Xenopus tropicalis: one gene and its partners. The protein of the gene in region 1 interacts with the protein of each later gene in a pairwise test. Links are inferred from orthologs where the notes say so. Each region holds a gene or a part of one and is shown in the gene's direction. Other genes may lie near its edges.

Region 1 (7,932 bases):
GTTAAAATGCACTACCTGGGTGCCAGAGCAGCAGACATGGAATAGAAAATACAGAATGTCGGCACTCACAGGATTTTCACGAAAAATAGTCACTAGCAGTCAGTCATGTTTTAGAGATGCAATCAAGTGGAGTTTATTAATCCAACGTTTCAGTTCCCTACTGGAACCTTCGTCAGGGAAGCACATTGCATCTCTAAAACATGACTGACTGCTAGTGACTATTTTTCGTGAAAATCCTGTGAGTGCCGACATTCTGTATTTTCTATATATATATATATATATATAAATGCTCCAGAAGAAATCGGGAAGTCACGGCGAAAGGATCGGAGACAACAACCGCAACGGAAAGTTCGCAACAGATAGTATTTAACCTTTCTTCAGTTGAACTAACGCCATTACAAATACAGGTGTTAGAACGGGGCTTAAACTTTTGTCCTACATCACAGTTAGATTCTTTTCAGTTACAGGTGGATTTGTATCGTTTTTTTCGAGCATTAAGACTCAAAGTACATTTCACTCATAATATGACATATAATGAAGCTGAAAATACCGAATGTGGTTTTGATATTAGCAAGGTTGGCTTAAGATCACGTAGCCATTTTGTCCCCCCCACAACATATCCGGCAGTAGAAATGTATATTCAAAAAGTTCGGTCTGAGGTTGAGTCTGATATTGAACATAGTGCCCATAAGGGCCCATATAATATGTCTAAAGCTGAAATTGAGACAATAACCGAGCTTAAATCGATGTCCAGCATAACTATCAAACCTTCAGATAAAGGAGGGGCGATAGTTGTTATGGACACGAACAAATATATTGCTGAGATTGAACGTCACTTGGGGGACCTTGGAGTTTATATCCCATTGAAAGGTGATCCAACGGAATCCTTTAAACGGAGCTGGATCACTTATTAAAGCATGCAGTACTATCTAATGTTATTACTATGTCAACGTCACAATATATGTGGATAGACTTTCCCATTATACCTGTAATTTATGTACTTCCTAAAATACATAAGGACCCCATTAATCCACCAGGTAGACCTATAGTGGCTGGGGTGGGCTCACTTACCAGCAATATAGCTGAGGTCCTGGATAAGATACTTAGTCCTTTAGTTCAGAAGACACGCTCATATATAAGAGATACTCATGATTTTTTACAAAAACTATCTAATATAAATGAATTGGCTGATGAAGTATGGCTGGTAACTTTTGATGTTACCAGTCTATATACATCTATACCTCATATTGAAGGGATTATGGCGGTAAAGACACTTCTGATAAAAAGTGGACAATACACTGAAATGGAGATTAATTTTTTTGTGGATATTCTTACCTTTATTTTGTATAAAAATGTCTTTAAATTTCGGGACGGTTTTATCTGCAGATACGGGGGACGGCCATGGGCTCCAAGGTCGCCCCAGCCTATGCCAACTCATTTATGAGTTGGTTTGAGGAGGAACACGTCTATCGTAATGTACTTTTCACTACACATTGTTTTGCGTGGTGGAGGTATATCGATGACGTGTTCCTCCTATGGCGGGGTGACCTGGAGTCCCTGTCCGTCTTCCGTGATCAGATAAATAGGGCCCATCCGGACATTAAATTTACAATGACAGCAGATAGCCACAAAATAGTCTTTTTGGATGTTGAGGTTAGTAGAAGTGAACAAAAATTCCTCACACGAATTTATACAAAACCCACTGATCGGAATCAGTTGTTGAGGTTTGATAGTTTTCATCCTGTATCGGTTAAAAAATCTATTCCCATTAGCCAATTTTCACGGGTCTGCAGAATAGCTAATGACCCAGTTATTGTTAAAGAGGATCTGAACAAAATGGATAAAAAACTAACAAGCAGGGGTTATCCTAAACATGTCCTTCAGGAAGGTTTTTCTAAAGTGAACAGAAATAAAGGGATTAGTCAACCTAATAAAGGCAAAACTACACAACGTATGACGTTTGTTTCTCAATATCATGCGCAAAGTGGTCGGATTCAATCTATCCTTCAGAAACACTGGCATTTGTTAAGGGAATCATATCCTACAACTGAAACATTCCAACAGGCTCCTATGATGTCATATCGTAGGGGCCATACAATAGGTGGTAAATTAATAAGGGCGGAGGTTTCCCCTGTACCGAGAAAATTTACTTTCTTAGGTCCACCTAGAGAAGGTATGTACAAATGTAAAGGTTGCACCCAATGCCGTTTTGTTTTGGTGGGGCCACGATTTACTGACCCCCATACAGGGAGATCATATAAAATACGGGGACATCATACATGTGACACCAATTTTGTGGTATATATGCTTGTCTGTCCATGTAATTTAATTTATATTGGAGAGACTATTCAGAAAGTTAAGGACAGGTTTTCACAACATAGATCGACAGTGAATACTGGTAATAGAATTCTCCCAGTATCTAGACATTGTTTAGAACTGGGACATACAGCTGATGATCTTAGATATCGGGTAATACAACATGTCCCTGCCCCTGGAAGGGGTGGAGACCGTGTTAAAATCCTCAAGAAAACTGAGGTAGAATGGATTCATCGTTTAAATTCTTTAGCTCCATATGGGTTAAATAGGGATTTTGATTTACATCTATTTTTGTAGAATAACCTATTTCTGTACAGTTATTCTTTATTTTTGCCTTAAAAATGCTCTATTTTTGTTTTCATTTATATAATTAATGTTTATGCTGAATAACTAGGACTGTTGTGACTTTAGGTCCCGTTTTTGACATGACTATAATGTGCCAAGTACTGTTTCAACATTATTAGTGATGAGCGAATCTGTTCCGTTTCGCTTCGCCGAAAAATTCGCGAATCTTTGAAAAGATCCGCGAAACGGCGAAAAATTCACGAAACGGCGAAAATGTCGTGCGACAAAAAAAATTGTCGCCCGCGGCTATTATTTTGTCGCGCGGCTATTGTTTCGTCGCGCGCGGCTCTTGTTTCGTCGCGCGGCTCTTGTTTCGTCGCGCGGCTCTTGTTTCGTCGCCCGCGGCTCTTGTTTCGTCGCCCGCGGCTCTTGTTTCGTCGCGCGGCTCTTGTTTCGTCGCCCGCGGCTCTTGTTTCGTCGCGCGGCTCTTGTTTCGTCGCCCGCAGCTATTATTTTGTCGCACGGCTATTGTTTCGTCGCGCGCAGCTCTTGTTTCGTCGCGCGGCTCTTGTTTCGTCGCGCGCTATTGTTTCGTCGCCCGCGGCTATTATTTTGTCGCCCGCGACTATTCTTTTTTGACGCCGGCGACAATTTTTGGACGTGCGGCGAATTTTTCCGCGGCGAAATTTTTCATCCGTTTCGCGAAACAATCCGCCAATGGCGAAACGCAGAAATTCGCCGCGAATCCATGCCTGGCGAAACTTTTCGCCCATCACTAAACATTATGTTTGTATAGGTGCCTTTATATAATATACTAATAGCTCCTTACTAACATATACTGAATTGATGTGCCGGCTTCTGTGTATACTGATTACGCTGACAGTGTGATCCGTTTCCACGGTGACCCGCTACGTCACTTCCGGTTTTCGGTTATACAAGGAAGTAACAAGTTATGTGGATTACTGACTGTGCTTAGCCACGAGGTGCGCTTGAGAAAGGGGGTGAGATGCCCCCGAAACGTCGCGCGGATGTGGCATAATGGACTGATAAGTATAGTTGTTATACTACCTTGAACGATTAGTGTATTCGTTTTTTTTTAAGAAAGTGCTTGAATAAAAGCTATGTTTTACAAGTTTGGAGTGCGGCTCAGTTGGAAGATATATATATATATATATAAATGATAGAAAAACATATAGTGCTGAAATATATATATATATATATATCAGGAGTTGTTCAAGCTTTATTGTAATACATTTTATGTACTGCAAGAGATGCATGACTGATAGCCCTCCAACTGTGACTGCGGTAGCTTGTATGTTAGCCAAAGACTGCCCAGACGGCTGTGAGTTGTAGTTCAGCAGTAACTGGAGGGTCACTGCTTAAACATCCGTGATTCGGGTTTTTAACCACCAACCATCAGGGTCCCCCAGCCTTCTTGCATTGGCCGGGCCACACATCTGCATCTTACCATTGTTATTATCTGTCATTTTAGGTTATTGTAGAAAAGGCGCCTAAGGCCAGAGTCCCAGACCTGGACAAGAGGAAATACCTGGTTCCCTCGGATCTAACAGGTACGGCCCCTGAAAATCCAGCCCAATTTATCTCACATTAGTATTTGTTTCTAATCTGCACTTTTGTGATATTTTTATTTTTTCTGTACCTTTCGTCTTTGCAGTTGGGCAATTTTACTTCCTCATCAGGAAGAGAATTCACCTTCGCCCAGAGGATGCCCTCTTCTTCTTCGTCAACAATACCATTCCTCCCACCAGTGCAACCATGGGACAGCTTTATGAGGTGGGGCCCTTAGCAAAGAGTAAAAGTCAGTCTCGAAAACATCTCTTCCACCAGTTCCGTGCCATTTTATAGCCATATACAAAAGGAAAACTTTCCATCTTCTGCAAAATCATAATAAAGTCCATGTGATGCCTTATAATTGCCCATGTGATAGCACATTATTACCCTTATGATGTCATATCATTATCCATATGATGTCATATCATTCCTCATGTGCTATCACATTATTGTCCAGGGGATATCATATTATTGGCCATGTGACCTCGTATCATTCCCCATGTGACGCCATTTAATTATCCATGTGATGTCATACCATTGCCCATACCGGATAATTTCTAAAATTTCCATAGGTGGTCAATATTAGACATTTTGACGCTGTATTTTAAGTTCTGTCTGTTTTTGCAATGGAGGAATATATCATATTTTTACCCATGTGATGTCATATCATTACACATATGATGTCTTTGCCCTTAAGATGTCATATTTCCCATATGATGTTATGTCATTGTCCCTATGATGTCATAATATTGCACATGTGACATAATATCATTCCCCATGTGACATTGTGTAATTGCCTATGTCATATGATTGACCATGTGACATTATACCATTGCCCATACTGGATAATTTATAAGATTCCCATAGTCGACCAATATTAGACATTTTGACACTACATTTAAGTTTTATCTGTTTTTTCAATGGACGAATGACCTGACAGTCTGGTTTGTTGCCTTGCAGGATAACCACGAGGAGGACTACTTCCTGTACGTGGCCTACAGTGATGAGAGTGTGTATGGAAAGTGATGGCTCAGATGGCACAACCCACCAAACCCAACACCATCACCTCCCATGACCAACCATTTCACAGAATACCCAACCTCTAGGACTGCACAGCACATGGAACCTACCAGCTCTGGATCTTGATGTCTGTGGAAGGTGTAAGGGGAGTGGGTGGGAGTAGACTTGCCAACCTCAGTGGATGGATAGCTCAAGATAAGAAGACATGCCCGTCAGCTAACATGCCTGATTGACTGGTGGCCTTGATTGTGATACTTAGCTTTGAGCCTCCAACACGCTTGGGCTCGGCACTAAATAAAAACCCGTAGGGCCATGTGGTTCCACCGTGCTGAGCTGGCCACCTTTAGGCTTGGGCTGAGCCATCCCTTTATAGTGCAACACAAACATTCCCGTTAGCGCACACCCCACCATGTTTCCTATTGGTCCAGACCAAGTCTTGTCTTTTCTCACCAGGTTCCCTCCCGTATGTGGCAAAGCAACAGTCCATATTATTGTAAATAATGAATGTTTAACCTGCGTCAGAGCTGTGATGGTGGAACACAATTACAATTCACAGTCTTTTTCCATTTATGCTCTTTTACTTTTTTATTGGATTAGAAAACATGGTCAGTGCCCCTAGGGAGGGCTATTGCTTAAGCATTCCTACAGCTACAGCCATTTCTCATCTCCATAGAAATACCAGTTTACTGATTATTTCTTATTCCATTCACTATAAATAAATATAATAATAGGTGTCAGGTTAGCTTCGGTTCCACTAACCCCCTGCAACCAATCAGCAAGCCATTGCCATTGCAATTACCAAACAGCTGATTGGTTGCTATGGGTTACCAGTCCTTGAGCAAACTTTGCACAGGTTATTACATGCCCCCTCCCCCCTTTTTGCACATGAAATGCACATTAAGTAAATTATAAGCCAAATTACTATGTTTTTGAACCAAAACAATGATGACATTTCTGTATGAAAGTGTTTGCGTGTGCATGGCCTCAAAGAGTGGTTAAGTAGGGGGTTATTATATCCAAGATGGATGAACCTCCTGTCTAGATCAGTGCATTTGGCAGCAATCTAAATCACAGGTGCCCACCTATAGTTCATTTATTTTTGGACTACCACTCCCAGCAGCCATTGCAGGCCAATGCAGTTGTATGAATATATGAAAGGCTGCAGGTTGCCTATCAATAGATTATATATCTAATAAGAGGGGTTGCACATATATCTATAGACACACATTACTCACAACCCAGCAATCCATTCCGAAACATCAACAATTCATACATTCACAAGCAATTTTATACAATATAAAAGCCTGATACTGGTGAAACCTGGGATGTGTTCTCTCGTTAGAATGAAGATATAGTACTGTAACACGACCTCGCTTTGTGTCCTGAAATTAACTTGGATAAAACATAATATGTTTTAGTTGTATAATTGTTGCACCGGGCCTGTCTTGTTAGGGAAGTGATACTGGAGTTAAACATATTAAAGAGATTAAAGGGGAAGTTCAATAATGAAAAGGACAAGTAAAAGTCTACCATAATGCACAATTTGGCCTTCAAACTGCCCTGTTGTTGCTATGGTCCCTGATCCCAGAAACCGGGCAGTGGGGTAGGAAAAAGACTGGAAAAGAAATAGGAGAAGAACCAACCTTAGCAACCAGATAGCAGCTGGAATTTCAGCCAGGAGATAAGGAAAACAATTTGAGGCAGAGTAGTATAGGGTATTTACTTCTATAATGGATTTAATATGAACTTCCCCATGTGGAATTGGAAGTGCACATTTCTGAAATGTATTTAAGGTGTTTATATAATATTTGTGTGGATGGTGTGCAGAAATCTGGGTGCAATACTGCAGGTGTCCTCTGGGTGTCAGTGCAGTGCAAAAGGCAATTTTTTTTCCCTGTTAAATAATACTGACTGTGCAAGTCCCAGCACTTGTATAATTGCTGGGCTGAGGGCTGTAGATTGATTTTGTTGCAGTGTAATACAAACTGTCACATCGGTAGAGACCTTGTGATGTGCAACTCCCAGGACCCCACTCATTTGTAGGGTGCTGGGAGTTCTATCTCACAGCATCTCAAGGGCTGCAATGTAACATATGAAGGAAACTTTTTAATGTTATAATAAATGTTAGTTTTGCTTAATAGATCGAGTGACTAAAGTCTTTATCAATAGTAACAGCGAATAGAGCTAAAACATCTGAATTAAAGGAGTACACATCCGCCCTGTGCGCTCATCTGCAACCATTCCTTTTAGATAACACTACAGAGCTGCTATTGTCTTTGTTAAATAAATCTGTTTTCCATGCAACCATATTGTTTTTTCCTCTTTGGCCTCCTAATAGAATTTCCATTTCTTAAAGTATATGTTATATATGGGCAACCCTACTGGATATGTAATAATATTTTTCTGGTGCAGTAACCATAGCATGCAAGCAGCAGTGAGCTCTAGTACAGTGCTGGAAGCTAAGGTTTGTCTGATTCAGGGTACTATAGTGGCATATATTCTACCCATGTAAAGCTGGCCATACATGTGCCTTGTGACAAATTAAGCAGAGGTCCACTGATTGGGAAACCTACCAAACAAGCAGATCTGGGGTCTAAATCGGCCACCTGGGGCCACTGGAGACTGTGGCCCTCCTGTTCCACCGCACAAACCCCAGCCAATACCTCCCCCTTAATTTATAGTGCAACAGGCTGAAAGGACTAGTGACAGGACAAGGTGGTTGTTGCCCCACAGAAATTT
Region 2 (7,932 bases), on another chromosome or scaffold:
GCACCTGTTCCCCCTCATACAACTCTTATTTTTATTTGTTAGGCAGCAACTGGTTGATGTCAATGGCGGCATCTTGGTGAGAGCCGGGAGAGGCAGAAGATGGCGCAAAGAGTGGGGGAGGAGGAACAGGGAGCCTCCGGGCTGAGGAGAAGGAGAAGCGGAGCGCGGTGTGTGGAGGCCAGGGAGAGAGACGAGCAGGTCCGGGAGGTGCAGGAGATGTTACAGCGGGGCCTGAGCAGCTACGAGCCGGTGCTGAGCTACGTGCAGGCCGTACTGGTGTGGGAGAGACCCCGGCACAGCGCGCTGCTCCATCTGGCACTCAATGCCGCTTTCTGGTGAGATGTGGCCCCTAATGTAGCGCCTGGGGGCGGGGCTAGTGTGGGAACCCCTCTATAAGGAACAGCCGCAACGTTCTTGGCTCTGTCATGTGACTATAGCATAGAATGCAGGTGTCCTGTATCCGCCATACCCTTCATCCGGCCGCAAATCTGTGTGTGTTTACTTGCATTCTAGGAATCTACAGTTCGTGTTTAGCCAAGCCCGGGCTCCCTGTCACCTCTCAGCCACAGAATGTTGCTTTGTCAGCCATTACTTGCTGGGAGTTGTAGTTGAACATTAGCAGGGATCTTGGGCAGGGGGCTCTGACCTTCACATGTGTTTATAATTCTCTCGGATTTCCTGTCAACTGCTGCAAGGTTTTTATTTCTTATAAGGGATCCTGTCCATGTGGCAGTGATAGAAATGTGTTAGTGCAGGGTGAGCTGTTGGGCACTGGACTGAAAACCATATTATTACACGTTTCCCAAGGTGTTTGATATCTGAGAACTGTGTAAATCTGCAAGGGCCCATGAGTTCTCAGTTGTGAGTATGTGTAACTGTATTTGTCAATATGGCTTCCCTTGGGGAGGGGTAACAGTCGGCAACATTGCTCTCGGTGCTCTCACTCGATCAAACCCTGGACAAATGGCCTGTGACACGTGAACGTGCTGACCACCATTGCTGCCCTCCAGCTGAGAAGACTTTCAGTCAAAATATCTCTTACTGCCATTCACCTCTTGTAATGTTCATAATGAAAAGGCAGATGGGTATTTGAGCAACGCTGTTTGGCACCCAAAGGCAGCAGGGAGCAAAATGCTTAGCGTGCCACAAGTGCAAGGGTATTTTGCATCTATGCTTGATTGATCTATGAAAAAGAACTACTGGCAGTCTGGGTACCCCATGTGCAAATGAGATTTGTAGTAGAATGGAAGGTTCAACTTCTAAGTTGTTTCCAGAAATTAGGACTTTACAATTGCTTTGTTTTTCATTTATTTATATGCAGTTTTCCTTTCCTTCCATTTAAAGTTTATTTTCTTCTGTTGTTTCCCAGTAGCAGTAAGCCAGGTTGCCTACTTCATAAATTGTTACCATTTGTATTACTTGTTCATACGCTAAAGCCAAAAGCATCTCGCACCTGCATCTTATTCCAAGTGGTTGTTCCTCCCTTCACTGGGACAACAGCCTTTACCCTCTGCTCCTCAAGGAAGACTTTTCGCTAAGGTGTTAGTACATTGTTGGTTGGATTTCCTTCCATTCAGCCACAAGAGCATTAGTGAGGTTGGGCACTGATGTTGGGGAAAAAAAAATCATGTGGTACATTCCCTGCTAGTTTTAGAAAGAATCAAGCCACATTGGGGGTTGGGTGGGCAGAATATTTTGACAGCTGCTTGACTCTCTTGTCCATTCTCAGTGTAGCTCTTTTCTTTCTATTAGTGGTAGCTGGCAATTTTCACTTACTGAGGTGCTTCTGTCCTGGGAAACGAGTGGGTGCAAAATTAAATGTTAGCCAAAATCTTAAATAAGAAAAATGGTCATTGTTACAAATCATAATTTCTGGTGTACTAGGTGAATAAAGTTGTGCTTAAAAAGGGTTCAGACGCGGCGGCGCGATTTTGCGAGTCTTTTTCGGCGATTTCCCGAAATCGCCCCCCCGCCGCGTCTGCCATCCCGCCGGCGACTTACATGTTCGCCGGTGGGATGGCAGGAGGAAGGCAACTCGGGGAGATTAGTAATCTCCCCGTGTACCAGAGCCCTTAAGGGTGAAGACACACAGAGCTAATAGTAGCAGCTACTTTTTCACGGCTACTAAACGCCAGAAAATACCCTGACAATACTGAGAGTTGCCTCTGCTAAAACACACATAGAGACAATTATCAGTATATGATCAGCATTGTCTATTTTAGTAGCCACAACAAGTAGTTGCTACTAGTAGCTCCATGTGTCTTCACCCTAACTCTCACTGACCTGGAAAGAAAAGATAAAAAAACAAATGTATTATAATATTTCCAGAGAATATTGAGCTACTTTTGAGTGGTGGAAAGCATATTCTCTTCTGAAAGAAACATGATTTTTTGGGTCAAAAAAGAGTGGTCTGTCTCCCTTTTGGATACAAATGGAGGGGTGACATGCAGATAACAGCACAAAAACACTCATTTAAGCATTTTGGCACCAAGATCTGCCCATTAAGCTAGCCATAGTTGATAAGATCTGTCTTGCAAAACAAGTGGATCTCTTCCCACGCACTGGGACAAATCAAGGGATAGTGATCAGATCTTACAACAAGAATATGGAGACCCAACAGACATCAGTGGTCTTTGCCAGGCAGGATTATTATATGGCTTTACTGCTCCATGTGTGTTATTCCATAGTATTAGAAACAGTGACGGGTAGACAAGGGTGTTTTGACTCCTGCTGCTCTCCATCAATATATTTATATAGCTGTACTTATATACACAGAGCTCTACATTTTAACCCTTCTCTGCCAGCAGTCTTTTTTTTTAACATGGCAAGGCATGCATGGATCAGACGGGAAAAGTCTATGTAGTAGACACTTTGGTCTTTATATACGGGCACTGTAGATTTAATGCAACCAGATCACTGGTGAAATTCCATACTGGAAAGCTGTTAAACAAAAAAACTACAAAAACATAAAAAATACAACTAAACAATGAAGACCAAATGCAAATTGTCATGCCTACATCCTACAAAAATGAAAATTTGAAGGAGAAGTACCTCCTTGGTGCCTATATAGAAAAATAAAAATGTGACCCCCTTGTCTGCCACTGGACACTTGCAGCTAAATCCAGCAAAGAATGGGAGGGGTTATCCCTGTATCTCTGCAGCTGGAATACATGCATAGGATGTAAAGTGTATGTGCTAGTCAGGTAGAGGAGGAGGTGGTTGGAGAGATGTGCCTAGGGCAGCACTGGATATACATTTAATGCCAGTAGATCATTCTATAATCCATGAATTTGGTAATTAATCCACTTTAATCTATTCATCAGTGATAAACAGGGAAATATCGAAAAAAAATTTTTTGCTGAGGATAATACTTCCCTTTTACAAAGTACTGGGAAACCTCTAGAATATGCAGTACAGTTTTGGTTTCCAGTGATCAAAGTCCAAAGAAAAACAACTTAAACTACTGCTGAAGAGTAAGGGCTCTGGTACACGGGGAGATTAGTCGCCCGCGGCAAAACTCCCTGCTCGCGGGCGACTAATCTCCCCGAGTTGCCTTCCCCCTGCCATCCCACCGGCGAACATGTAAGTCGCCGGCGGGATGGCAGACGCGGCGGCGCGATTTCGCGCAAATCGCCGAAAAAGACTCGCAAGGCTTTTTCGGCGATTTCCCGAAATCGCCCCGCCGCGTCTGCCATCCCGCCGGCGACTTACATGTTCGCCGGTGGGATGGCAGGGGGAAGGCAACTCAGGGAGATTAGTCGCCCGGGAGCAGGGAGTTTTGCCGCGGGCGACTAATCTCCACGTGTACCAGAGCCCTAAGCGGGGCCTTGTTTGTGAAGAAGGACTGAACAGATTGAAGTCGTTTACATTGGAGGTGTTTAATAGGGATCTAATGTCTATGTAAAACTATATATTGGGAGCAATTCATAAAATCTCTGTTTCACCATTAGATCTTTCCAGAAGACACAAGATTCATAGGATAAGTGTTTTACATATTTAAACCTTTAGCAGGGTTTCTAAATTCCATGTAGTTAATGCATTATGGTTTTCGCTTAAACAAAGAGGCCATTTATTGAGATACAAAGAGTGCAGAGAAGTGGAATTAAAGGGCACCTATCACCCTAGATTTGCTTTTCCCATCAGAGGTGCAGGCTAATAGAACCCGCACTTGGGTTGGGGGGGACAATAGTTTTTTTGTTTTTTTTTTTAAAAATCAGTCCCTGCTGGTGCTAGGCCAGGAGCTCCCGGTGCGAGAGGCCATGTTATTTAGTGCACATGTGCATGATAAGTGAGACACCCTGCTCACTCCTTATGCACAAAGCAGTGGATGCGACTCGCCCACCTGGATCACACGCATGTGCATTATGAGTGAGTTGTGGCACTTCCTTGATATGGGCATGCAAGTGCCACAATATGGCTACCCCAAACCTGGAGCTCCCTCCCAGTGCGGGCAGCCTAACACTGTAAGCGGCTATTTTTTGGTGGGGAAACAGTTTTAGGGCGATGGGTGCCCTTTACGGTTTTAAAGATGTTTGTGATGAATCCCTGTTAGAGATACACATATAAGAGAACTATTCAGTCTGGTACCTTTTTCACAGAGGGCATCTGCTTAGAATAAAATAAAAGAGGTTTTATCTTAAGGTATGAAAAGGGTTTTTTTTAAGCGAGGGCTGAGAATCTGTGAAAAATAAGCAGCTGTACTTGCCAGAAATGTTAAATATTTTAAAGAAAACCCATGAGTTCTTTTTTAATAAGTGAGAAGATACATGGCTACTAGTGTGACTGCTGTGATTGCCAGGTTAGAGTCTGGCAGAAATGCTTTGGATCAACTGAAATGGAGGGGAGGTGAAAGAAATCAAGTAAATGCCCCACAGAGAGAGACTGGGGCTGTATATGTAGTGTATGTATATGTAGTGTATGTATATGTAGTGCTGACACTGTAAGTGATGAGGTGGCAGAGACAGAGGTGATGTGGATACTGTTTCAAGGAGATGAGGTGGCAGTAGGAAACAGTAAACATTCTGTTTCATGGAGGAAACGTGATTGGTAAAAAGCAAAATATATAACTTCATAGTTGGGATAAAGCGGCAGTTGACGCTGAAGTATTTTGCAAAAGTAAGGGGGCACCAGTAGAAGACTTTGCAGAGGGCATTTGATCTTGTGCAAAGGGTTAACTATCATATACATAAGGAGTCATCAACCTTGTATTTCAGACATATATGGTGGGTCTGACAGATCTAAGGTCGCATTGGAAGAACAACTTCTGTTGTAATTTGGGGGATTCAATTCATTTTCTTTCCTTTTTGAACTTAATGCATGTGCCAGTTATGCACTGCCATAACCTTGCCAGAAATATTGCTAAAGAGCTGGGCCTAAAGCAAAGTGATATTCACCGGGGGTGCTAGAGTTTTTGCAACCCCCACTAAATAATAATCTCTAATCTTACAAGGGGTACTATTCCTGCCTTGCAATGCCATCAATGGCCCTTCCGATTCGCTTGGGTGTCCTGAGCATTGCATATGTCCCACAGAGTAAAAATCCGGACTGCAACTTTAAAGTTGAAATTATTATTTTCCTGTGCATGTGTGTTATCGGGACAGTTCAGATCTCTGGGACAACAGGAATAATGTGGGTGCTGCCGGAACAGTGCCCCCAGCTGATGCATTTTTCATTGTGGTGAAAATGTAAAAAGTGCAAAATAATTTGGTTATTCAACTATCTTTTTTTTATTTACTTGCAGGTTTTTTGCCCTGACCTCTCTCAGAATCATATTTTTGGTAGCATTTGGACTAATGATAATCATTTGTGCAGATCAGTGGAAGAACAAACTGTGGCCTGAACTGGGAGGTAAGGAGAATTCTTGATATTATCTTCCCTTGCTGTCACTGAAAACTTGATATACTTCTATCTATACAAGATTCCACGTGTATATATGCAACTCTTCTTTCCTATATGAGCTCTCACATACTCTTTACTGGCCAGGGCAAAACTGAAAGCAGTATTCTGCAAAGCCGTAGTTCTAATTGCAGTCTTCCAGTGAGCTTATCTTCTCACAGCAAAGCCAGCCCTGGGCTATAAAGGCTAAGATATGGATAAGTCCCCATATTTCCTGCATAAGTATCATGCAAATAAACACAGGTCTCTTGTTGGTGCTGCTTAGAAACTTTCTTTCTGATGCTTTCAGCATGATTACATACTTTATCAGAGTTATCTGTTATGAACATGAAACGCTATCGGAGCACACATATTGGTCAGGACTAAATCGAAAGCCATATGATTATGCCATTTAGCTTAACAAACAGGTCTGCTTATAGCAAATCAGCCCCTGGGCAACAAAGAAAAACTAAATACATACAGTTTTTATAATGTCCTTTCACTGGAACCAAGGTTTCCTGAAGTTTGCCACAGTACAATAGTTCTCCAACATCCATGGGGTGGTTATCATGGTTAAACCTTGATATAGACAAGATTTCAGACTTGTCTATACATACCAATTAACAAAGGGGTGACCATTCCTAAAGAATTTGGAAAGTGTTAAGGTGGCCATACACGTGGCGATCCGACGATGTTTCGTACGACCATCGGTCGCACGAAACATCGTAAGATCCGCCACACACCATTCAGGGCTGAATCGGCAGGTAAGGAGGTAGAAACAATAGGATTTCTACCTCCTTTTGCCGATTCAGCTCTGAAGGGAGAATTTTGGTCAGGCGCCTTCTATGGCGCCCGATCAAAATTTTCAAACTTGTCCGATCGGCGAGTCGTCCGATATCGGCAGCTTCCTGCGATATCGGTCGACTCGCCGACATGCCATACACGCACCGATTATCGTACGAAACGAGGTTTCGTACGATAATATCGGTGCGTGTATGGCCACCTTTAGTCTTCTTACAAGGTGAATTGTCTTTTAAGGGGACACGTTTAGTTAAGCCCATGGCATGTAAACATAGGTTAGATCATGAGCAATACTTAATGCAGACCCTTCTAGCAAAACCCCATTAAGGACTTTCACTGGTAAGACTTTTCTTTGTTCCATTGCACCACCTACCTACCAATTCTGCCCCTGTAAAGAGACAGTACAGAATATATAATATACCTGGTGCTTTAAAAGATACAATATTCAAATTAGTTAATTAGTTCTCACTATTTCTGTTTGTGTTTTTTCAGCAGCAAGAGCCAGTGAACTGGAGAATGAAAGGTGAGATAGTTATACCTTACTGCCTTATTGCTTTCTTGGCCATACCAGTTCTTCTAGAACTAGCCACACCTTACCTACCTTAGTTATGAGAAAGTGAGAGTTGTAGTTCTATGCCACCCCTAGCAGATGCTTCTGGGGTCTGACTGAGGTTGATGCCAGACAGCTGAAACATTTATGCTTTTTATGTTCAGCTCCGTTTTGCTTTATCTCTTTTATACTACTACATGCTATATATAATAGTAATATATACATACTATATATAATATGTCACATAGATTTGTGGAGACCTATTATGAGAGAACAGGACATCAGATTAGACTGCATAGACATTTAGAGCGAGAAGACGTGATTTCTTATTGCTTTTGGTGACACCAGGAAGAATTATTACTTATATCCCCAGACAACTAACATATAAATGTGTATATTCAATTATTTACCGTAGCCCTATAATATTAAATTTAAAATTTTCCATTTTTTGTTTGGCTGTTTGATTTGTGCCTGTGGCATTGCACATGCTCCGTGTGCTCTGGTTGTTTGACATTATCAAAAAATTAGCAGAAAAGGAGGTTCAGGGGCATCCAGACATCCACATAATTCACATGCACTGGTTTCTATACTGCCATGTAAATCTGAGCCTTGTACTGTGCATATACTGTATATTGTTCCTAAGATCATGTAACTGACTGCAAGCCAGAACATGTGATCCTTGGGCATAAAGCTGAAAACATAAGATC
Region 3 (6,982 bases), on another chromosome or scaffold:
TGACTATTCTTAGAATCAGTTGGTCTGATTTACTAATATTGGTGCTAAATTGCACCAGTTTCTAGAAGCACCCAGTGAGCAATTAGTTTAGATCAGTTTTAGTTTAGTTCTCTGCATAGTATTTATTAGGTAAGGCAAATAGTGCCTCTATCATTACAGATATATTTTCATCACACTTCAAAGAAGATGTATATTGCTTCTAGAACTGCATAACTTATTTATTTTGTGATCCTCTTTCCAGGCTTGATCGTTTTGAGAAAACCAATGAAATGTTGCTCAATTTCAATGGTCTCTCAAACACACGATTGCAACAGATGAGTGATAGGTTTGCACATCACACCAGGACACTGGTGGAAATGAAGAAAGACTTGGACATCATCTTTAGAAGAATCAGGTACAAGATTTACATTTTATTCTGCTCCAATGACAAAAATCTGCTCTGATTGCACGTACTGTATTTATGTAAGTGAAAGCTATTAATTATTATTTCATGCAAGTGATAATTAACTAATTTATACATATAGTAGGAGGGAAAAAGGAAAAATGCAGTGCTCCTTTATATGCTAGGGAACTATTGAAAATTAAAATCTACTATAAGCCTTATCTCATGGAAATAAAACAAATTTCTAAATATAAAATTAATTACAAATTCTGTATCATTTCTCAAATAATCAGTTTCTCTACACTATCCCTCACTCTGCAGTTTGTCTCTACATTCAGCTTTGTGTCAGAGTAGGTTATTTTGAAAGACGGTGAGCTCTAATACATTGGCAAATAGAGCACACACCAATGTATTCATTCTAACCATCATACAAAATCTGACTGTCTTTTGCATGATGTGAGACAGTTTACTGAAATGAGAGTAGCTTGATAATTATACAAAATTTTTAACTGATTATATTAATTTAGTTCCTTATTTCCATGAGGTTAAACCACTATTACATTTTTGTGATAATTCCCCTTTAAGTGAAAAACATACTGCTGTTGGAAGGTGCTGGGGCTGTCATAATGTGATCACCTGGGAACCCTACATTTGGTATTCCCTAGAAATCCTATTATAGAGAGCACATCATCTTTACATCATCTACAATTAAAACACAAAGTTGTATCTGAAATATATATTATTGCTATCTAGAAATGATCTGAAGTCATCAGTGTATTTTTGTTCTTATCCATGCAGGATGTTAAAAGGGAAACTAGCAAAGCAATATCCAGAGTCTTTCAACAGTAAGTTCCTTATAATTTGGTCCTATATGACCTACAGTATTTGACTTATAATATTATCAAGCTAAGTACTTAGATATTAAAAATGGTAAAGCAAAAAGAAAACAACTTGTTTGATCTATGTTTTAAATAAAATAAAGGTAACTGGCATGTGAACATATCCTTATGCCTCGCCATCAAGTACTGGGTTTCTTACAGGTGGATCATTTAGAATTCTGTGAGGGTATGCCATGTGGCCTGTTAGTGAGGTCCAATAAATAACCTGTGTGCACTGCAACTTGCACCTAATGTGTTACTACCATTGCAAAAGTTGCATTCATTTTATAAATAGGCAAAAAGTTGTGGCAGTGAATGTGGGCATTGCAAAGCTTGTGATTGGCATGTTATTTGGCTGGCACAAGTGGGAGCTCCTATAGATGCAATATTCAAAGGGTGTCTAAAGAATGTGTAAAGAACAGGGCTCCCTTGTGCCAGAACATACTGTATATTTCTTCTTATTCTGCAAAGCAGGCACAGCTGGTTTTACTGATACATGGTGAAAGTACAGAAGCACAGGTGCATATACACTCACCTAAAGGTTTATTAGGAACTCCTGTTCAATTTCTCATTAATACAATTATCTAATCAACCAATCACATGGCAGTTGCTTCACTGCATTTAGTGTGGTCCTGGTCAAGACAATCTCCTGAACTCCAAACTGAATGTCAGAATGGGAAAGAAAGGTGATTTAAAGGAGAAGGAAAGGCTAAGTCACTTGGGGGTGCCAAAATGTTAGGTACCCCCAAGTGACTTAGAACGCCTACCTTGTACGCCGGGCTGGTGCCCCTGTACGGAGGGAACAGCACCAGCCCGGGGCACCTGTAGACACCGCTTCCTCCTTCCTTTGCGCGCTGCCGGCGAAATCCGCCGGCCGGCGCATGCGCAGTAGAGTGAAAAGCCCACTTTAATGTTTAAGTTCGGCTTTTCACTATACTGCGCATGCGCGCGCAAGCGAGGAGGAAGGAGGAAGCGCCGGCAGCTACCCCGGGCTGGTGCTGTTCCCTCCGTACAGGGGCACCAGCCCGGGGTACAAGGTAGGCGCTCTAAGTCACTTGGGGGTGCCTAACATTTTGGCACCCCCAAGTGACTTAGCCTTTCCTTCTCCTTTAAGCAATTTTGAGCGTGGCATGGTTGTTGGTGCCAGACGGGCCGGTCTGAGTATTTCACTATCTGCTCATTTACTGGGATTTTCACGCACAACCATTTCTAGGGTTTACAAAGAATGGTGTGAAAAGGGAAAAACATCCAGTATGCGGCAGTCCTGTGGGCGAAAATGCCTTGTTGATGCTAGAGGTCAGAGAAGGGTATTAGAATGGTGTTCCTAATAATCCTTTAGGTGAGTGTATAGGTCCAAGCTCTCGGTTTTGAACCTAGCACTGTGCCTTGCTACAGTAAATAAGCTCTTAAATAAGCTTTACAGTATAAAGCTTTAGAGTGCCCATGCTCCTAATTGTCCAGAACTGGGGAGATCTGGCACTGGGTAATGTGCCCAGGCAAGGCAGAAAAGTGATGGTGGTTGGGGGTCACTTTACATTTGCTACTGAATGCATGTTTGTGTGTGTTTGGAAGTTAATTCATAGTTTTGTTAAAATTTCACAGATGTTCATGAATCTCCCATCCTAGAAGATGATGATGATTTTGACCCAACCCCAAGAAGTGCTGCCACAACTATTGCCACATCAGAGCAAAGCACAGAGTCCTGTGACACAAGCCCCTCTATTATTTCACCTGCTATGAGCCAAGACTTTGAGGACTTATCCCAGGCACCTTCTGACACTCCATCTGTCAATGGGCAGATTCTGACAGATGAAGAGGTGGTCCATGAGGATTAACAGACTAGAGGGTGGAAGCAATTTCTAAATTATGGTTGTGTGCTCTTCTTCAACCTCCAGCACAATGCATTGTCATCCTTCTGCCACCAAGGAGTTCTTGTTATGCTGCCTGGAAATAAGCACCCTGCATTGTCTAATTACCCTAAGAAGCAAAACATGGATCAGTGTAGAGGAAAAGGGTGGTTGATACAAGATTTAAGTTTGAGCTAGCTCTTCCCAGGACTCTTAGCTATTGATTTTTGGAAAGTTATTCCTGCACTTTCAGCTTGCTATTGGTACCATTACTGCAGATGCTACCACCCACCTCTCCCTCCATGTGCTTTTTTTGAACACATGCTGGTACTTGAAACTTTTTCTTTCCCTTTTTGGTCAACCATTCTCTTACATTGTTTTTGCTGCTGCACTTTAACTAGCATTTATTCTTAATTTTGTGCCCATTCCATGTTTCTAGCATCAGCTTACCTTTCTTTTAATTCCCTGTGTCTTTTGATCTTTTTGTCTTTTTGCCATATTTGCCATAATTGTATGTAGTTCCTGTACATCTGGTTAAAAAAATACTGCAGGGAATTTTAATTTTTTTTTTCCTGAACAGCACAATCACAAATTTGATCCTTTCCTCATTGATTGCATTTAATGTTTTATAAGCTCAAGCCTTGGGTCACACAGTTTAATGTAGACCGACTTAATGCTTTGTGAGAATACCTGAAAGGAATTTTTTAGAAGCTTGAAAAAGGGAAGAAAAAAATTAAAAGCAAAAGATTTAACTTATCCCAAGAAGGTATCCGCATATCTTTAGAGCACATATCTGTATCTGCTTGAAAAGGAAGTGTTATTTGTTCTTACAAAATCATGGTATTTAGCACTTATTTAATTATTAATTTTTTTTAAGCTTTTTCAGCATCCCTTACAATAAAATTAAATTATTTGTAACAAATATTTGCTGGCTCAGATATAAAAAATGGATAGATATATTTAGCTGCTTCAAGAACTGGCCTTTTTTATATGTATTTTGTCTCACTTTTTCTTCGTTTATTGGGATCACTGGGTTTATGGCACATGCCTTAACATGAAGAGATCTGTGGAATTTAAATCTTTAAAGTGATGATGCCTTTAAAGGAAAAGAAACACTAAAATAGTAAAAAAGCTATTCACTTAGCTAACCACTTAGTATTTTGAATGCTTTAATAGAAAATAACTGCTAAAGGAAGGAGCAGCATCCACTATGCGACGATCGATTGATCGAGCCTAGCCTGACTCCTTCCAATACAGAAGGAAGGCTAGGCTCGATCAATCGATCGTCACATAGTGGATGCTGCTCCTTCCTTCGCCATATCGCCATATTTCAATTGACAGGAAGCCAAGTTTTAGCAGGTATTTTCTATTAAAGCATTCAAAATACTAAGTGGTTTGCAGGATAGGGCAGTTATTGGTGCAGGGTAGAATAGCTTTTTTACTTAAAAAATGTTAGTGTTACTTTTCCTTTAAGGGAGAAGGAAAGTCATTTGGCATTTTACTGCCAATAGATTCGCCACATTAGTGCCACCTAGAATGCTATATTTATTCTGCAAAAAATGTTACCATATATGAGTAAAGAGCCCTAGAAACTTTCTCTGTTTGTTTAAGATTGCAGCCTTCGTTTTAGCTTGGTCTTCCAAGCTTTCTGCTTGCAGCTTTAGCTCTAGCCCTCCGATCACATATTACTAAGGGTGGGGGGAGTGAGTTTTATGAATTCTTATGGGAGGGGGAGCAGGAGAGGAGAGCACTGCACAGACTCCAGCCCAGGGAATGAAGGATTTTTCTGAGAGAGGAAGTCAGATACCCTAAGAACATGTTTACTCAGTGCAGCTTTTCTGTGCATGCTTATGGCTGTATTTACATAGACCTTTCTGATAAAGCTTACTTAGTTTTTACCTTTTCTTCTCCTTTAAAGCTTTGGACAACTGAACATGACATGACATGTTTTTGCTCAAAATGCATGTAATTTATCAAATTAGGGCTCGATATTTTAACCAAATCAATCAGAAGTTTGAATACAAAAATTATGGCTTTGGTGCTTCTCTGACAAATAGTGTGATTTTTATCTCTACCATGTGAGAGACTTTTTATTTTGCATGATGTATAAATGCAGCTTTAAATTTTCTGACAAGTGTAAACTTAATTTAGGTAGCTCATCTGTAAATAATATAATACAGGTATGGAATCCGTGATCCGGAAACCTGTTATCCAGAAAGCTCCGAATTACGGAAAGCCTGTCTCCCATAGACTCCATTTTAATCAAATAGTTCAGATTTTTAAAATGTATTTCCTTTTTCTCTGTAATAATAAAACAGAACATTGTATTTGATCCCAGCTAAGATATAATTAATCCTTATTTGATGCAAATCAGTCCTATTGGGTTTAATTAATGTTTTATTGTTTTTTTTAGTAGACTTAAGGTATGGAGACTCAAATTACAGAAAGACTCCTTATCCGGATTACCCTTGGTCCCGAGCATTCTGGATAATGTGTCCTATACCTGTACCCAGTCTTTTGCAGAATACCAATATATACACTAGTAGTAGGTGGGCATAAAATGATCACCAGTGTACTTGCATGCTATTAGACACCACAAGAGTCAAACTGTCCAGAAGCAAAGGCTTCTGCACATGTGCCAAGCTAAGAAGGAAGACAGCATCTAATTTTAGCTGTGCTTAATGTGAGGCACACAGTGATGTATTTAACAAGCTTTTTAAATATTATTTTGAATCAACATGTTTGAGTGGCGCAAGGGCATACTTTGAGCTGTATTTTTCTAGGCACACTCACCTAGGAAATGCTGTGCCTTCATATTCAATGCCAGCTTGTAACAAGCACAGTATCAGTGTCACAGATACATGAGTACATACTCTTTATTTGGGAGCAACACAAGCATGAAAAAGCTCTGGAGGTGCCAAATAAGAGCCATAATTAGCTATTTGGTAGCCCCTTGCTACCAAGTATGTGAACTGGCAGTGTACAGGAGCCTCTGTTTGGCATTACATTGGGTTTTTATGCATAAAAACTTGCCTCCAAGCCAGAAATTAAAAACTAAGTACCTCATTTGCGGCCACTGGAAACAACATTTAAGCAGTTGGTGAGCAACATGTTGCCTACAATCCACTGGTCAGGGATCGCTGCTCTGTATTCTGTGTCCACAGAATACACATAAAGTAAAATAAATACTGTAGATAGGGCTGCAGTGTTTCACTGGGAAAACATCTACCTACATCAGCATTATACATTGACAACATGGGTGTTAATACTGCAGTGTCATTTTTTTTTTCAATTTTTCTTTATTTTATCAAGAAGATTAGATAGGGAATACAGAAAGAAAATGGGGAGTAGGGGGTAAATATGAATACAAAGAAAAGGTGTAAATAAAAATAATACAGATATGGGATCTGTTATCTGGAAATCCATTATCCAGGAAGCTCCAAATTATGGAAAGCCTGTCTCCCATAGATCCATTTTAATTAAATAAATCGGATTTTTTAAATGTATTTTCTTTTTCTCTGTAATAATAAAACAGTACCTTGTATTTGATCCCAACTAAGATTTAATTAATCCTTATTGGATGCAAAACAATCCTATTGATTTTAATTCATGTTTTATTGTTTTTTAAGATAGATCCTAAGAAGATCCTAATTATGGAAAGATCCATTATCCAGAATACCCTTGGTCCCGAGCTGGTAAAAATGAAGTTTGGTGCCAATGTAATAGGGAAGAAAGACAAGAATATAGGAAGGATGGTATTTGTCTCTAGATAAAGTGGCAACCCTAACCCCACCTGGCCTTGTGCCAAAATCCTTGTGAGCCACCTTCCCCATCCCAATATAAGAGGTCAGCGATCTGCAAGAGTGTGACACAGA
Region 4 (7,932 bases), on another chromosome or scaffold:
CCCGAAACCTGCTCCAGTGTTCTTTTTACCAATCTTCTTTGTCCTCCTTCTGTAAGCCAGCATCAGTTACTTGGTATATATAACCAACAAATATCTTTTTGTTATTGGTTGTTTGCTTTTGATATTTGACTTGGGAAGACCATGGAAGTTTTATTTGATTAAAACTGAAATTATTTTTCTATTCTTTTAATTTCCCATCCTTGTGTTTCTTTTTTGTGTAGTATTTTCTAGATCTTATTCTCATAAATGGTGATGGAATCTCCAGTACAAATTTTTCGTGAGGAAGAAGCAATTATCCCAGAACGAGCTCCAGTGGGCTCGACATGCTCTTCCAGCTGTGCTCCTGCATGTCCTTCCAGTTGCTTTCCCAACACAAGCTGGCTGCTAGGCTGGGATGATCATGATAATGTCAGTGCGTATCCTGATCTACCACTAAATGAAGGCAATCACACCAGTATCTCACCAACAATTTCAGTAATAATAACTGCAGTCTACTCCATGGTTTTTGTGGTTGGCTTAGTGGGAAATGCCCTAGTGATGTTTGTAATAATCAGGTAAGTTTTATTAAAAAATAAGCTTTTTTTTAATAATTGTTAGCATGTTTTATTATTTGTAGTCAATAGATTTTTCTGATTAAAGGGGCAGTATACACACCTTTTCAACATGAGTTCAATGAATAGGGCATGTGCTGAACAATTTTTTGTCTATTGTTTTATTAAGAAATATCCATTGTTTGTGTTATTTCTCGCACTTAACAAGAATATGAAGACAGTTTCACTTTAGTACTTCCTATCAGGAGCTGATAAAACTAATTACCAGTCTACCAAAAAGCCCTTGATAATGAACTGTTTTAAGGCTGGAGCTTAGAGAAGGGAGGGGTTTGTTTTATAGGGTGCTCTGAACAAACAGCCCTGTTTATAGAGAAAGTGAGGGGAAGAGTTCAGTGAAAATAGCCCAACTTTCACATTAGTGCTTTATAATGTCATAAAATAGGATAAAATAGTTTTCTTTCAATTAAAACAATAGGCAGAATGCAGTTTATGTATTGTGTTTATAGCAAAGATGTTTGTGTGTATACTGTCCCTTTAAAGGTTTTTATCTAAAATTGTCTCTGGTTGCAGTTAGGGAATAAGCACCTTGCACCTTTTCTAATGTGCCAAAATTGAATAAAAACCTATTTTTCTTTGCAAAACTGAGCATATTTAAAACACTTATCATGTGTAAGCATAATCACTGATACCTTTTTGAATCTCTTTTATTAGCCAAATGGCAGTCATTCCTTGATTGCCCTGGAACCACCCATGCTATTTTTGAATGATGGTGTTTGCAATGTCAATAATCCTTCATATATTCCATCATTTGATGTTTTGGTATCTAAGATTCCCCTTTAGTATCTTCCAGAAGCCTTAGCATTAGTATTGTACAGGTAACTGCCAAAATGAAAGGGACTATAGAGTTTGAATTTTGCAGTGACTGATTGTCATGTATGTACTATCCCCAAAAGGCATTTTCACTGCAATTACAGTGCTCTGGTGCGCTGCGAAACAACATTAGTCTTGCTCCCTGGAGCATCTGTTTTTTCTCAGAATTAGTGCTGACTTTGGGTCATTTAACCCAGTACTAATAGCTGGGATAAGACTGCATAGCTGAGTGCAACCATGTCATCAGTCAGCCATGTAGAAATGTTATTACACAGGAAACAATTGGCATTTGTTTCTAATTTATAATAAACTTTTTTTTTATATGCTTCCATTCATTTTAGTCACACATTATACCATTTTTCCCATTATACAATATTTCTTTCATGCCAAATAAGCTTTATTCATATGGCTTGAAGTTACAAATGCAGATGAGATGATCAATATATCCCATAATTATTCAATAATAGCGAGATCACTGAAGCTAAAAAATCGTATGTCAAAATAGTCACTTTACAAAGCATTAACAGAATCTATCATCGTAACATCATTGCCCTCAAAGTGAAGAACCATTTTCACTTCTTCAAGGTAAAAGTTCAGTTCCTCAGGTCTAATGGGGGGGGGGGCTCCTGTTCTATGTGAAAAAGATTCGCCGCTATCTGTCTACAATCCCCTCTATTGTACTTGTACAGAGTAATCATGTCCCCTCGCCAGCGACAGTCTAACCTCATAGTTTAAATCTTCCATCCCCTTTACCAGTTTAGTTGCAGTCTCTGCACTCTCTCCAGCTCATTAATATCCTTCTTAAGGACTGGGCAAAATTATGTTTTCATCCCTTGAGTCAATCTCTTTTTTATTCAAGATAATAATTTATTCATTTTAGCAGCCACTGTTTGACACTGTCACCTAATATAAGTTGGATATATTTCCATAGTTGCCAAAGGTCCAAAAGATTTTAGTGTATATATTGTAGGCTTTTAAAAATGAAAAATAGTTTAACAATCTTACATCCAGAAACCAATATCCATACTCTTCTCTCATTCTATAAGTCTTGAATAAACAAAGATCCACATTACTTGTATAACTCTCCTGATAAAGAAATTCTGAATGCTGTTCCATCTGACACTGCAGAAATAGAATGAATGTGGTTTGCTCTATTAATGTAGACATACTGATACAGTAGCAAAGACCTCCCTGGAAATTTCCGTTATTGCCATCTATGTAGTGCCAAATGAACAAATGATTAGCTAATCATGTCAGATGATAAAAATGCTGTTCACGCTACTATTTTTCTGTTTTTGCCTGTATCTCACATTGTGTTAGTGACATTGTTACTCTGTTCATGTATCTCTTTCCCTGTCAGTTACAATAAATTACTCTTTTACATGTCAGATGAGCCTACCTTGGACTAAAGAGCAGTACCTGCTAGAAATATTAATCATTTTTGCTTTTATCAGTAATTGGCTTGGAAATGGTGTCTTCATCTTGCAAGGAAAAATAAAGCAGTAATGAAAAAATTAATAATGATGAGTTTAATCATTTTAGAAAATGTTAACAGCACCAAATGATTTATTTTCTAAGAAGTAGTAGAAACCATCAAATTGGTTGTTCTTTATTTTTATTTTTGTTTTTTAAAAAAAATACCACAGCTTTGTGGGGGGTATTTTTTCACAATTTATATTTTTTTGCACAAAATCCTTTTTTCGACAGAAAAAAACTTGATTTATTATGCATCAAAACTGCAACAAATCTGAAAGTAAAAATGAAAAAAAATATCTAAAAGCTGTTGAGGTTATATAAAAGTCAAATCTATCTGACGCAAATCATCTTCTAGCATGCAGGGCTTAAATTATGTATGTACTGTATAGATTGTGTGTATATTTTTATTTCAGTAGTGCTACTTATGTACGCAGTAATGTATAGCAGAACAATAAATTAATAGGACAAACGCGTCATTACAGTAATTAATACAAATAAATACACAGTACAGATACATAAAAGATCCTAAGTGTCAAAGAAACAAGAGGAAGTGCTGCAGAGCTTACAATCTAAGTGGGAGGGTAACAGACACAATAGGAGCATATTAAGTAACAGAATAATAGAATTTTTTGGAGACTGCAGATTTAAATTTTTTTCTTTTAATGTTCACCTATTTATTAAACTACAATATAAATTTAGTTTAAACAAAAATTCTATGCAATTTTGACTTGTCATAATTATAAAGTACTTTGACCAAAATTATTGTTGAAATTTGTTTGCCAGCTCAGGCCAGAACAAAATCTGATTATTTCCAATGGAAGATTGAAGAATACATTTTAGACAAAATGAGAGAAGAAATCCACAATATTGTACTGTTCTCCCTAATATTTTACCCTGTCTTAGTGAACTATATCATGTAATCCTTTTGCAACAAACTGTTCCAGGTACATGGTCTACCAACAGGTCATAGTTGCACATCACTACGAAGCATGGCCAGTAATGAAAGGACTAAAGATGACTGCGAGCAACAGATGCAATTCCCAGATGTTTTTCTATACATTGTAGCAAGAACATAAAACTAGATCTCACATACTGTGTGCTTCCTAGTGACCCATTATTATTAAGACAAATTTAGTATTCTTTTTTCACTATTAGGCATCATTTTAAACTTGTTGGAAGTACTTGACTAGATTGCAGCAAGAACTAAAATATCCAATTAACTGAAACTGATACAGTGTATATAAATATGATGCAACCATGTGGTTGACAATTGTTCATTTCTCAACCCAACTTCCTTACAGTACATAACACTGCTACACCACCATGGACTGTGCGGTCAGTGGCACACTGAGCTTTTCTTTATGCTCTGTGCAAATGATTTGTATGTTTGGGGTTTACTCATCCCCATAAATGAATTATTTCCTAGTTCCTGTTATACTGGCAAACATAAGAGCACTGTAATTAGTTAAGAGAAGGGATTCAATTAATCTTGTGCTTCTGGCAGTGGCACTGCTAATCATATCTACATTTGATTAATAATTATTTCACATGGCCACAATGCAATGTCCATGGTTAAGTTTCTGTCTCTTCTTCCATTTGTACTATTGCTTCTAATACTATCTGCCAGTCTTATTCATGGAATCCCCTATCATGGCATACTGTGTCATTGCACTTACTCCAAAGATGCCCTTGCTTAATTGTATGAAGGTCAGAGTTTGAGTACATAAAATGAATTCACAATGTCTCCCACTGTAACAGAGCATTATCATAGGTTTCATAAATATATTTCCCTTCTCTACTCTCCCCTTTTATTTCTAATCCCCAACATTTATGTGCCACCCTCCATCTGGCAGATCCCCGCCCCCTTACCTTTCTCCCCTACTCTGTTGGAGTGCTCCAGTGCTTAGTCTGCAACTCTGCTTTTCTCACTCTGCCATATATCTATGGAAACTAAGTTTTTGGGTTCCAGTACTTTATCTATGCAGATAAAACCCAGTCCTAAAGTGCTGATCTCCTTATAGTCACAGAACTACTGAATTTGGGTATACACATTCAGATGAAATTGGCAAATGTGGTCTTCTTTTTTGTTTCTTTAACCAAAGTAATTGTAAACCGCTAGTGTGTTTAAATGAATGAATTCCACTTGGTATCCGCACAAGGAAATGCTGTTGTCCACACACTAAAGGAGTTGTTCACCTTTTGAGTTAACTTTTAGTATGATGTAGAGAGTAATATTCTGAGACAGTTTGCAATTGATCTTCATTTTTTATTATTTGTAGATTTTGAATGATTTCAGTGTTTGTTCAGCAACTGGAATATGAATAGGAGAGGCCTCACAGAGCAATGGCTTTCTGGCTGCTGGGGCCAGTGACCCCCATTTGAAAGCTACAAGGAGTTAGAAGAATAATTAGTAAAAAAATAATTTTAAAACGTTAAAAAAAAATAAATAATGAAGACTAATTGAAAAGTTGCTTTGAATTGACCATTCTATAACATACTAACATACTTTTTTTAAGGTAAAACCTTTTGGCTGATTAGATAGATTAGATAGAATTCTAATGTAATATTATAATTTAATAAAAGCATCGTTTGGGGTGTTTACTTAGATTCTATGTTTATATTCGAATGTGTTATTCTAGCAATATAAAGGCCTTTTCTACCAGAAAAGAATTATTGTAAAGGTTTTTCATTTAAATGGAGCAACATACTTTCTTCTTATTATTATATTTTTTTGTATTCCAACAGATATACAAAAATGAAGACTGCCACCAACATTTATATATTTAACCTGGCGCTAGCCGATGCCCTAGTTACCACTACAATGCCCTTTCAAAGCACTTCATTTTTAATGAATTCTTGGCCATTTGGAGATGTCCTCTGTAAAATTGTGGTTTCTATCGACTACTATAATATGTTTACCAGCATATTCACTTTAACCATGATGAGCGTTGATAGATATATTGCTGTTTGCCATCCTGTAAAGGCCCTGGATTTCCGTACACCTCTTAAAGCAAAATGCATCAATATATGTATATGGATGTTATCATCCTCTGTTGGAATATCTGCTATTGTACTTGGAGGGACTAAAATTAGTGATGGTAAGTACACAGATAATAAACTGCAAATTACAGTGATTTTGCTTGCAACGTGTAGCATTTGGGCATCAGATCAGGGTGGAACTGCCACTGCCATAAAGACATCTTAATGTTTTCTCTTTGGGCACCCAGATGAAGTTCAGGATTTAAACAAATTAATTTAGAATCCATTATGTACTTTGTTTTAATTTTATTGTATAGAGAAATATTGCTGTATTAAAGAAAACACTCCCAACAGCATGGGGGCCCAATTTGTGTCCTGATCAGCAGGTTAAGTATCCCTGCTTTAAAACTTCACAATTGATAATCATTATAGTTTATTCAGAGCACTTTATAATGAATTGAAGACAAACAGTAAGGCAGAAACAAATCAAGCACAATAATGCTTTATAAACTGAGATATGAGGTCAGAGGCCCTGTCTGTGAGTATCTATCCCAAAATGCAGTTGGGACAACTCAGCACTCTTATTCAACACTTTAAAAAATAATTAGATGATGCTCAATAGTGCTTAATTGGCCAGTAGATCCACCTAGTCAGTGAAGCACTGGTATTTCCACATTACAAAGGTACACATTTAGCTAGAGGATGCCCTCAAAACTAGAGATGTAGCGAACTGTTCGCCGGTGAACTAATTCGCGCGAACATCGAGTGTTCGCAAATTTGCGAACTTTTGGCGATGTTCGCCATTTTGGGTTCGCCGCGTTTTTTTTGCGCCGCTTTTTTTGCCTCGTTTTTTTCCGCCGTGTTTTTTCGCTTTGGTTTTTCGCCTTTGCGTATACATAGGAATAGCTTGCGGTTTTTTTTTGGCGTTATTTTTTTGCGGTTTTTTTTTGCGGTTTTTTTTGGGCGTTTTTTATCCAAAGTATTTTTCAGAGAAATTGTTGCCCTTGATCCCCCTCCTGCATGCCACTGTCCAGGTCGTGGCACCCTTTAAACAACTTTAAAATCAGTTTTCTGGCCAGAAATGGCTTTTCTAGGTTTTAAAGTTCGCCTTCCCATTGAAGTCTATGGGGTTCGCAAAGTTCGCGAATATTCGCGAGTTTTGGCGAAAGTCCGCGAACGGGTTCGCGAACATTTTTGGCGATGTTCGCTACATCCCTACTCAAAACCATGAGGAAATGAGAGTACTTTGGAGACATGAGGTCCCTTTCCATTTGGAAGGCTACTATTAATAATAAAAAATAACAAAAGTTGTATAAAGGTCATACCTTTATTGGCTAACTAAGATAATCATAGCAAGCTTTCAGAACATTCTAGTTCCCTTTTCAAGCTGATTACAATGAAGCCCTGGGTCTCTCTGATATATATACAACATTCAGCTCATAGATCAAATAACCAGAAAAAAGGAATATCTATGTGTGTGGAAGGTGTTAACAAAGTGATATAAAAGGAGGCCTGCAAGGGACAAACAGATAAGGTACAGAATAATGCGGATTGAAGTGGGTTGATATAAATTAGGGTAAATTACTGAAGTGTGAAGCAAAAGGAATTCCATGTGATTAACTGGTACAGTGTCTCTATAGAAGTTTGTATTTCTGGCTTGGTGCAGGCAGTTCTTAAGGCAGTCTCGGGAAATCGCGGCGCCGCATATGCCATCCCACCGGCGATTTACATTCAAGCCGGTGGGATGGCATATCGGGGATATTAGTCGCCCGCAACAAGGGAGATTTGTCGTGGGCGACTAATCTCCCCGTCTGCCACGGCCCTTAATGTTCTGAAAGCTTTATATGATTATCTTAGTTTGCCGATAAAGGTATCACCTTTATACAGGTATGGGACCCATTATCCAGAATGCTCGGGACCAAGGGTATTCCGGATAAGGGGTCTTTCTGTAATTTGGATCTCAGTACCTTAAGTCTACTAAAAAATCAATAAAACATTAATTAAACCCAATAGGATTGTTTTGCCTCCAATAAGGATTAATTATATCTTAGTTGGG

The links.
Region 2: the proteins of gabarapl1 (region 1) and retreg3 interact in binary tests that used the Homo sapiens proteins (3 or more experiments, as listed by UniProt). The link is inferred for Xenopus tropicalis from reciprocal best matches to the Homo sapiens genes GABARAPL1 and RETREG3.
Region 3: the proteins of gabarapl1 (region 1) and kxd1 interact in binary tests that used the Homo sapiens proteins (3 or more experiments, as listed by UniProt). The two-hybrid records come from large-scale screens. The link is inferred for Xenopus tropicalis from reciprocal best matches to the Homo sapiens genes GABARAPL1 and KXD1.
Region 4: the proteins of gabarapl1 (region 1) and oprk1 interact in binary tests that used the Homo sapiens proteins (3 or more experiments, as listed by UniProt). The link is inferred for Xenopus tropicalis from reciprocal best matches to the Homo sapiens genes GABARAPL1 and OPRK1.

What each region holds. Positions count from the first base shown.
Region 1 is NC_030683.2:18,809,287-18,817,218, reverse strand, and holds the end of gabarapl1 (gamma-aminobutyric acid receptor-associated protein-like 1), read left to right. Parts: intron 1-4,093; coding exon 4,094-4,172; intron 4,173-4,276; coding exon 4,277-4,395; intron 4,396-5,133; coding exon 5,134-5,199; 3' UTR 5,200-7,497; downstream 7,498-7,932. UniProt on the Homo sapiens protein: Ubiquitin-like modifier that increases cell-surface expression of kappa-type opioid receptor through facilitating anterograde intracellular trafficking of the receptor. Involved in formation of autophagosomal vacuoles.
Region 2 is NC_030686.2:29,101,437-29,109,368, forward strand, and holds part of retreg3 (reticulophagy regulator 3), read left to right. Parts: 5' UTR 1-99; coding exon 100-335; intron 336-556; exon of another isoform or gene 557-847; coding exon of another isoform or gene 848-861; intron 862-5,740; coding exon 5,741-5,847; intron 5,848-7,167; coding exon 7,168-7,198; intron 7,199-7,932. UniProt on the Homo sapiens protein: Endoplasmic reticulum (ER)-anchored autophagy regulator which exists in an inactive state under basal conditions but is activated following cellular stress.
Region 3 is NC_030677.2:106,544,215-106,551,196, forward strand, and holds the end of kxd1 (kxDL motif-containing protein 1), read left to right. Parts: intron 1-241; coding exon 242-394; intron 395-1,180; coding exon 1,181-1,227; intron 1,228-2,862; coding exon 2,863-3,095; 3' UTR 3,096-4,054; downstream 4,055-6,982.
Region 4 is NC_030682.2:114,703,263-114,711,194, reverse strand, and holds part of oprk1 (kappa-type opioid receptor), read left to right. Parts: intron 1-221; 5' UTR 222-246; coding exon 247-554; intron 555-5,642; coding exon 5,643-5,995; intron 5,996-7,932. UniProt on the Homo sapiens protein: G-protein coupled opioid receptor that functions as a receptor for endogenous alpha-neoendorphins and dynorphins, but has low affinity for beta-endorphins.